Sus scrofa: one gene and its partner. The protein of the gene in region 1 interacts with the protein of each later gene in a pairwise test. Links are inferred from orthologs where the notes say so. Each region holds a gene or a part of one and is shown on either strand. Other genes may lie near its edges.

Region 1 (4,385 bases):
AGACACCCGCGGGGACAGCCCCCTACCTCAGGGCCCCGGCCAGGCCCCTGCAGCTGGCCTCAGGGACCCGGGCAAGCCGAGCAGACCCAGAGCACGACCCAAAGTCTCGGCACCCAGCCCCAGCACCTCTAACGTGGAACAGGAACGTGCACGGCCTTGCGCAGCCAGGCCTGCCCACCGCCACCAGGAGGGGGCGACGCTCGGGCCGCGGGCAGGCGGGGCACAGAACTGTGGCCCCTGCAGCCGACCCACCCGAGGGCCCTGGGTAACCTGTCAGCGGCCGCTCGCTCTGCCCTTGCACTTAGGGGCGGCAGGAAGGCCCCAGCCCCCAGGGGCCCCTGGCTGGAGGGGAGAGTGAAGGAGGAGCAGGACCACGCGTCCCCCAGGACAAATGCCAGGGAACGAGGGCAGCGCTCAGAGGCACGCTCAGCGGCCTGGCCAGGAAGCGGTGCTGTGAGCACTGGCCCGACGTCCAGGAGAGGTTAGGCGACAGCTGCCTCACCGCACACACACACCCAGGTGGGGAGGCCGCCCGCGAAGGCAGCAGCCAACGCTGCTCGGCCAACATTTGGCCTCTTGGGGTGAGGGGTCACCCTGACGCTTGGCCAGCCCCTGGACCCCACCTCACCAGGAAAGGCCTCCAACGCCCCCAACCTCACCCTGCCTCCCCAGCGTGCTCCAGGGAGCACACAGGGCCGCCTGTCACCCCAGACACCCTGGCCTTTGCTCCCTCCTCGGCTCTGCTCACGCCCGGAGCCAGCTCCTCCTCACCTCCAGAGGCCACCCTGGCCGTCCCAGCCCGCCTCGCCCCACGGCCGCACGCCTCCACAGCCGTCAGCCAGCCCTGGAGCCAGCCCTGGAGCTCCGGACGACTGACAGCAACGTCTGCTGCATGGAACCGCCCCGCGCCAGAGCTTGAGGACCCAGGCAGTGCCCTGACCTCCGAGGCAGCCAGTCGCCACCCAGAAGCATGTGTTGAGACAAGGAATAACCAACATAAAAAGAGGAAAATCCCCACGGCTGAAAGAAGACACGAGAGCTTAACGCAAAGGCCTGCCGAGCTGCCGAGTGGAGGCAGGTCAAAGACCCAGAAGACCCACGCCAAGCACAGCGCTGCGATCCAGCCGCGCCAGGCCCACTGCCCTGGAGCGGACAAGCCAGCGCTCACGGGAGTGGGAACGGGACTGGCCAGGGTGGCCCTGGACGTGCCCGCCCCGCACAGCCCTGCCCCGCCTCACCTCACCCTGGCGCCTCGTCTTGGGGGAAGGACTGAAAAAGTTGTGCAGGACGGAGAGCTCGGGGCTGAAGAGCGCGTTCTCCTTCTCCACGATGTACTGTTTCAGCAGCGGGGAGACCTCGTCGCCGAAGAGCGCCTGGTTGTCCTGCCAGATCTGCCGCTTCACCTCCACGGCACAGGCCCGGTACAACTCCTTGTCAGCCATCACCAGCTTCAGCTTCTTCTCAGGCACCTACACGACCCCACGGGCCACCTGTGAGCAACCCCTGGGCCCCAGGGGTCTCTCAAGACAAATCAAGAGCCCCCCCCACAGAGATCACATCCAGCCCAGTCCAACCCACGGGGGGGCACCTGGGACTGGTCCCCCAGGCCCTGGCAGGTGTAGTCAGTTTTTACCCAGAAAGAGCTCCGTGCCCCAAAGCACGTGCCCAGCTTCAGGCGGCGTGGCTCAGGGAGAGGCCAGCACGGAAACAGGCCCGGAGCTGTGCGGCCGCCAGCAGGCAGCTCGGGAAACCTCCCAGGAGCCAGCCAACGCCTGGCCCAGCTGGCCTCGCAGGTTTACCTTGGGCAAGTGTTTCATGACGCACATCACCACCGGCTGCAGAGACGGCATCTTCACCAGAGAAAAGCTCTTCTCCAGAAGCTCTTCCAGCTTCTTGTACCTGGAAAAACGGGCACGACTGAGGGAGGCAGCACAGAAGAAGTCGGAAGCAACTACCTACCTGCCTGACCCTAGACAGGTGGTGTGCGCAGGCGGGACCCCGGGGGACATGCGGACCGTGAGTGCTGGGAGGGGGCCGCACATCGCACCTGCCCACCTACCTCTCCTCAGCCTTCCCCTCGGAGGCGATGGCTGACACCCGCTCCAGCAGCTTGTCCCGAAGCTCATCAAACACCGACTGGTGGAACTCCAGCCGGGGTGTCCCATGCAGGTCCAAGAAGGGCAAGGCCGACTGCAGGGAGGGCAGCAGCACGCCATTCTCTGTCTAAGGAAGCGGAGGGCCAAGGTGAGGTCGATTTTGCTTACCCCGGGCGGCAAGAGAAACCTCAGCCACAGCCACATCTGGCCAGGCACCCCTATGCTGAGTACACAGGGAGGCAGCTGCAAGGACGTTCCCAGCTGCGCTGGCTGGGCTGTAACTGCAAAAGCTGGAAACCGCTCAGATCGCAGTCGACGTCGTCCTAGTTCAGGACACCCGGTTCCTCCCTCCCGGGGAAGAGACGCAGCTACCTGCAGGGAGAGAAGCCCGCCCACTTCCCACGGACCCCGCCCCCCCGCCGGACTCACACACCCAAGCCACCGGCCTCTCCACCCGGCCCCTCCACCCGGCTCCACCTGGAACTGCTCGATGGCCTTAAGCGGCTCCGTGCAGTTGGTCAGCGTCTCCTTCAGGTCCTCGCCGTTGGCCACGCCCAGGTCCTGCAGCCCCGCGAACATGGCCGAGGCCCCCGCCCCCACCCGGCTCGGCGCCCCATCCCCTCCGCGCTCCCCGGGCGCCGATCCGGTAGCCGCAGGCCCAGCAGCTGCCCGCTCGCCAGGGCCTCGGGGGCCGCCCGAGCTCCTCTCCCCGGCGCCCTCCAGCTCGGCCAGGTCCCGCCCGCAGCGCGGCTCCGCTTGGACCGCAGCTGCCCACTTCCGCCCCGCACAGCCAGGTCCGCCCGCCAACCGGCTCCCCGGAAACGCCGCCGCCGCCGCGCAGAGGTTCCGGGAAGCAGAGCCGCGGCCGGCGCCTGGCAAAGACCCAGCGCGAAGCCGACGCCCGGACGTCGCGCAGGCCCCGGACGAAGCCCCGCCCCGCCCCGCGTGGCCTCGCCCCCTGCGCGGCCCCGCCCAGCGACGCGGCGCCTGCGGCCTCAGGCAGGTGCGGCCCCTGGGCCCCGAAGAACCGCGGGCGGGGTGCTCGGGGACGCCTGCGGGAGGGGCGTCGCCTGCAGGGTCGGCCTGCTTCGTGGGTTTCAGAAGGAACATTTTAGCCAAGTGCGTTTTATTTGATTTTTTTGATTTTTTTTTTTCTGTTTTTTCCAGGACCCGCGCGGCATGTGGAGATTCCCAGGCTGGGGGTCGAATGGGAGCTGTAGCCTCCAACCTACGCCAGAGCCACAGCAACGCCAGATCCGAGCCGCGTCTGCGACCTACACCATGGTTCATGGCAATGCCAGATCCTTAGCCCACTGAGCGACGCCAGGGATCGAACCCGCCACCTCATGGTTCCTAGTCGGATTCGTTAACCGCTGCGCCATGACGGGAACTCCTGCATTTTATTTTAACCTTGAAAAATCGTGTTGCTGACCTCATGGCATTCTTTTGATGTTGAGAATATTTTTGCTTGAGAAAATGGAGCCCTGCCACCCTAGAAACTCCCTGCCCCTGTGGCCCTCTCTCTTTCTGGAACTTGGTTCCCTCCTTGTCCAGCCTGACCAAGTTCACAGCTGAGATCGAAATCTAAGTGTGCCTCAAATTGGGGAGGGGGTGGCCTTGCAGTGACAGCATGACAAAGGATGGCTGTCCTCTGGTCACCTTGAACACGTACCCCCCTGGCTAACCCAAGGTGGTAGGCCCTCAAGCTAAAGTCCAGGCTGACTCTCTCTTGGTTCCAGGCCGTTCCTTGTCCCTTGCGGTACAAGAAGCTCCTACAGGGACAGTGGGCACCACCTGCTCTGCACTCTCCTCGGGCTCCCGGTTGCCAAGGGTGCAAGCCCCTGGAGCCAGCGCACAGCCTCTGCAGCTTCTCCACCCCTCCGGTTCACCTTCCACCCCCCGGCCCCAGGTTCTCCCAAGCTTGGCCACACCAAACCCCACACCCTCTCCCTTCTCGTGTGCCTTGGCTTCCAAAGTTTGCTCGGCCAGAAGTTCCCTTCCTGCTGCCTGGCAAACTTGAGCTCATCTTTGAAAGCCCATTCCTCCCCTGCCTCCTCCAGGAAGCCCTCCCTCCTCAGCACAACTGGAGATTTTTTCATCCTTTCTGCTGGTCCCACTCCTGGCTTAGAGCCCTAGTGGTTGCTGGTGGTACCGCTGTGAGCAGAGCTCCTGGTCCCCCCAACCTGGACCAAACTCCCAAGGTCGGAGCTCCTACAGCCCTGTCTCGGTTGCCCCCTGGCCGAGCTGGTCAGCCCAGGGCCCAGTGCCAACGGTCTGCAGTCCCACGGC
Region 2 (4,572 bases), on another chromosome or scaffold:
GGGGGGTGGAGAATAAGGGCTCCCTCTCCCCGACCATCCCATTTCCACAAGCATCACCTGGCCAAAAAGGGTACTGTGTTGGATTCCCCCACAGGGACTGGGAGGCGGGCCCTGGTGGCCGGCGAAGAGATAAGGAGGTTGTGGCCGACAGGTTTGTATTCTCTAGCAGGACCTGAGGCAAGAGATCAGAGCGCCAGTGAGGCTGAGTTGGCCTCTGACAACCCCCCGCTCCGGCCGCCACCCCCCCACCCCACCCCCCCCACTTCCCAACTCTGCTTCTTGTGGCCCCTGACCTCTTACCTCCTTGTAGCCTAGTATCTGGCCTGTGGTTGGGTGTCTTTGGGCCTGCAGGTCGGAGGGGACTGGGGCCCCCAGTGCGGCCAGGAGAGACCAGGGATCCATCTTCCTCTGCCATTTTCTGGACAGAAAGAAATTTTCAGCTCTTTCTCCTCTGTCTCAACTTCCTTCAGGAACCCATTTCCCCTAGTCCAGGCCCCTCTAGACTCCTCACCGGGCTGAGTGCTCCACACCATGCAGAGGCAGCCAGGCTGGAGAGGACAGAAACAACTGTTCTGCTTCTTGCTGCAGATCTGGGGCACAGGGTGGGAGGCCGTGGGGAAGCTGGAACAGGGCAAGACGAGAGGCATGAGGCAAGGAAAGAGAGTAAGACACAGACAAAAGAGATGGTGACGGGCTTCATGTTTAGATCAGAAATGGTAGGTGTCCCATACAGGCTAGGACAATTAGGCTGAAGCAATAGTTTCCAAAGGTTGTCCTACTTTATAGGAAAAACTGACCTGCAACTGAATTATCTGGAGAGCTGTTTAATAATATAGATTTTGGATTAAAGAATTTCTGGAGATGGACCTAAGAATTTCTAATTTAGGAAAGCTCCCCCTCTAATCATGAGGCACACAGATTCTGATAATCACTAGTTTTAGGAAAAGGAGCCCCAGACCTAAGGATGAAAAACCGAAGGTGCTCAAGGGCTGACCTATCAGCCACCAACAAGTGCCCTGGTGCTTGGAGACAGAAGAAGATGCCAGGGAGAAAAGACCCACTGGAAAGAGCAGTTCTCAGAGCTAAAGTTATCCCCAGGGCTCCCTGCTCTGTCTTCTCATGGGCTCTGACGCACTGCAGGTCGACTGGGTTGGGATCCATCCCGCACCAGTCCAAAGCTGGGATGACAGGTGTCCAGAGACAGGTGAGCCAGGTCAGGTTAGACCCTACTGTGAGAAGGCTGAAAGGGGTTTTAAGCCCTATTAATAAGGGTCAAGGTTAGGTTAGAGCTAAAAGTCACTCACGGTGCTCTCTGGAGCCCCAGGCACATTCAGCAGCTCCCAGCGCCCGGTACATCCTAGCTCCAAGGCGCGGAGGGGCAGATCCAGGGGATCTGGGGTAGGCAGCACTATGGGAGGAAAATCACAGGTCAGGGGTCAAGGGTCATTCCCTGTCTCCTCCTCCTTCCCACCTTCTGCCCCCTCACCGAGTCGCTCCGTCTCCATCATCCTGGAGCCACGGTAGCTGCCGGGCAGCCCGGAAGTGTAGGGAGGAGCCGAAACCCGCGGAACTAGCGGCGACTTCCGGAACACACCCCGCTGGGGGCGGGGACGAGCACTACCGAGGGGCGGAACCCAAGCTGGTGGGAGGCCGGACGGAAGTGTGCGCGCCGCGAGCCGCCTTGGTTACCGCGGTCTCCGCCCCTCGCTACGTCATCGCTCCGAGCCAGCGATCCGCTGCCCGCGCGGGCGCCGCCCGAGACCGTGGGGCTCCGGTTGCCGCCCCCTCAGGTAAGGCCTTCTCCGTCTCACCCTTCGCCCCTTTTTTCCGAGCTCCTTCTCTCTTCTTGCCCTGTTCGTTGCTCTGAGAGCGCTGCGCGGGTTCCACTGCCTCCTCTGCTTTTCGGACCCTGCGAATGCCATACTAACCCCAGCGAGGTAGGGGGGGTCTGGTGCCATCGTCTTCGCGACGGAGGGGGTGTTTCTCCCTTCCTGGGCTACGTGGTGCCCCAAGGCGCTGGTATCCGTGATTCCCGGAGAGAGAAGGGAATGCTGGTTGATCCCGACGAGCGGGGGCTTGGACGGCAGCTGGTTTAAGCAAGGGGTAGGGAGAGGCAAAAGACAGGAGTAGGCAGGCCTGGAGGGGTGGGATTGGGTGCAGTGTGGACGGCGTGTGACCCCTGGGCGGTGACAGTGGAGAAAGATGTCTTGGGCCCTGCCCCTGAACCAGGAGCCACCATGTTGGTGATACCCCCCGGACTGAGCGAGGAGGAGGAGGCTCTGCAGAAGAAATTCAACAAACTCAAGAAAAAGGTGAGGGAGTGTGTGTGGGCATGGCCCAAACTTTCAAAGACTCTACACTGAGAACACCTGGGGTGAGTGTGAGGGGATGGGGGGGTGGGGGTTCTTCTAGCTCATACCTAGAGACATGGCACCTCTCAGTGTCCCTTCATGGGTGGACTTTCTCAAGGTGGATACTTGCTTTTCTCTCTTTTCTGTATAGTCTGCCATGGAGGTGTCTTCCTTTCCTCCGGCTTTTAGTACCACCTAAGAACTGGTGATCCCAGGCTTGGTTTTTTTTAGTTCCATCTGTATCTTGCCAATAACCTTCATATATTGCCGCTCTGGTCTTACCTATTCTAATCTTGGTCTTCCAAATAGGACTGACTCCATTCACTTCTCCCGCTGTTTGGAATCCAGATCTCGTCTCTGTCTTATTTGCGTAGCCAAATGTTTGCCGAGTCGTCTTGATTCCTCCTTTGAAGTAACTTCTTCTGTTTACTCCTTCCTGTGTATTCTCGCAGTCAGGCCTTTGCTGATGCTCACCTAGACTGTTGTAATCGTCTCTCAGCAAGTTTCTTTTTTCGACAGACTTTTTTACTTCTATTAAAATGGTGCTTTGAAAACAGAAAACACTGTCCTTCTTTTTCTCAAAAGCCAGTGGTTTCACATTGTCTATAAAAGAGCCTTAATTTGGCAGCCCTTCCTCGTCAAATAGAACTATTCCTGGGAGTTCCCGTCGTGGCGCAGTGGTTAACGAATCCAACTAGGAACCATGAGGTTTCGGGTTCGGTCCCTGCCCTTGCTCAGTGGGTTAACGATCCGGCGTTGCCGTGAGCTGTGGTGTAGGTTGCAGACGCGGCTCGGATCCTGCGTTGCTGTGGCTCAGGCGTAGGCCGGTGGCTACAGCTCCGACTCAACCCCTAGCCTGGGAACCTCCATATGCCGAGGGAGCGGCCCAAGAAATAGCAACAACAACAACAACAACAACAAAAAGACAAAAAAAAAAAAAAAAAAAAAGAACTATTCCTTAATCCCAAAACACACACACATACACACACACACACACACACACACACACACACACACACCCAGAGTCTTATCTCTGCATCTTTGCCGCCTTGTTTTCTTTGTCTAAAATGCCTTTTCTTTTCTGTATGTTATTGTAGATTCTATCCAGGGCTCAGTTTAATGTGGGCATCAGGAAGGTCTTACTTGCTCTCAGCTATAGTCTACACTTCTTTAATCAGTCTTGACAATTTAGTCTGGTCATCTTATTTCTCAAACTCTAAGCTTCTTGAGGGGAGGATTTCCGTCTCATACTTCTGCATAGACCTGTTACAGAAATTCCTAGTGATGCTCTTTCTGATTAAACGTTTAGGGGGCGGACAGGTGAAGCCCCCAAGAAGGCATGGAGACTTACACTTAATTGCAGCTTGTATCTGCAGACTCTGGTCTATGATTAAACCCCTTGTCTTCGACTTGAGAAACGTGAGACTCTGGAAAGCCTCTGGATACTGTGGTTTGAATAGATTAGGTGTTGTTAGCATTGTAGATGCTCTGGGGGACCATATGTGAGAGGCAGGGCTGCCTCAGTGTGCCACTCTAGGGGCACCATTTGCATTATTTTCTCTGAGAAAGTTGTCCCCTGGAGTGATGTGCCCAGGGGCCTTGGGAGAGGACCTGGGCAGGGACTGGCCCTCACTGACCCCTCTCTTCTCACTCTCATTCCCAGAAAAAGGCATTGCTGGCTCTGAAGAAGCAAAGCAGCAGCAGCACTGCCAGCCAAGGTGGTGTCAAACGCTGTGAGTGACAGGGGAAGTGGGGATAGACCGGAAGTGAGGAGCCCAGGCCGACCTCTGTCACAGCCTGGCCAACACAAAGCCTCTTTCCCCCGCCACTCCAGCTCTGTCAGAGCAGCCCGTGGTGGACACGGCCACAGCAACTGAGCAAGCAAAGCAGCTGGTGAAGTCAGGAGCCATCAGTGCCATCAAGGCCGAGACCAAGAACTCGGGCTTCAAACGTTCTCGAACTCTAGAGGGGAAGTTAAAGGTGAGCACAGGGAGAAAGATGGTTCAGGGCATCCGTGACTTCAGAGGGATCCTGCCAAGTTGGAACAGAGGTAGGTTTAGGGGGAAAGTAATGCTGGTTCAGTCCTGGGCAATTGCTCTGCCATTCTGAGCTTCAGGTTTCTTACCTCGAAAATGAAGGAGCTAGATGACTCCTAGATTCTTCTTTATTTTACACTTTCTTTGGCTCTAATCCACCTCATACTCTGAGAAGTTGAATCGAG

The links. The genes of interacting proteins can lie anywhere in the genome.
Region 2: the proteins of NELFB (region 1) and NELFE interact in binary tests that used the Homo sapiens proteins (3 or more experiments, as listed by UniProt). The link is inferred for Sus scrofa from reciprocal best matches to the Homo sapiens genes NELFB and NELFE.

What each region holds. Positions count from the first base shown.
Region 1 is NW_018084833.1:653,342-657,726, forward strand, and holds the start of NELFB (negative elongation factor B), read right to left. Parts: upstream 2,904-4,385; 5' UTR 2,829-2,903; coding exon 2,574-2,828; intron 2,224-2,573; coding exon 2,060-2,223; intron 1,900-2,059; coding exon 1,800-1,899; intron 1,470-1,799; coding exon 1,239-1,469; intron 1-1,238. UniProt on the Homo sapiens protein: Essential component of the NELF complex, a complex that negatively regulates the elongation of transcription by RNA polymerase II.
Region 2 is NC_010449.5:24,044,043-24,048,614, reverse strand, and holds the start of NELFE (negative elongation factor E), read left to right. Parts: upstream 1-1,682; 5' UTR 1,683-1,790; intron 1,791-2,229; 5' UTR 2,230-2,237; coding exon 2,238-2,312; intron 2,313-4,014; coding exon 4,015-4,084; intron 4,085-4,185; coding exon 4,186-4,331; intron 4,332-4,572. UniProt on the Homo sapiens protein: Essential component of the NELF complex, a complex that negatively regulates the elongation of transcription by RNA polymerase II.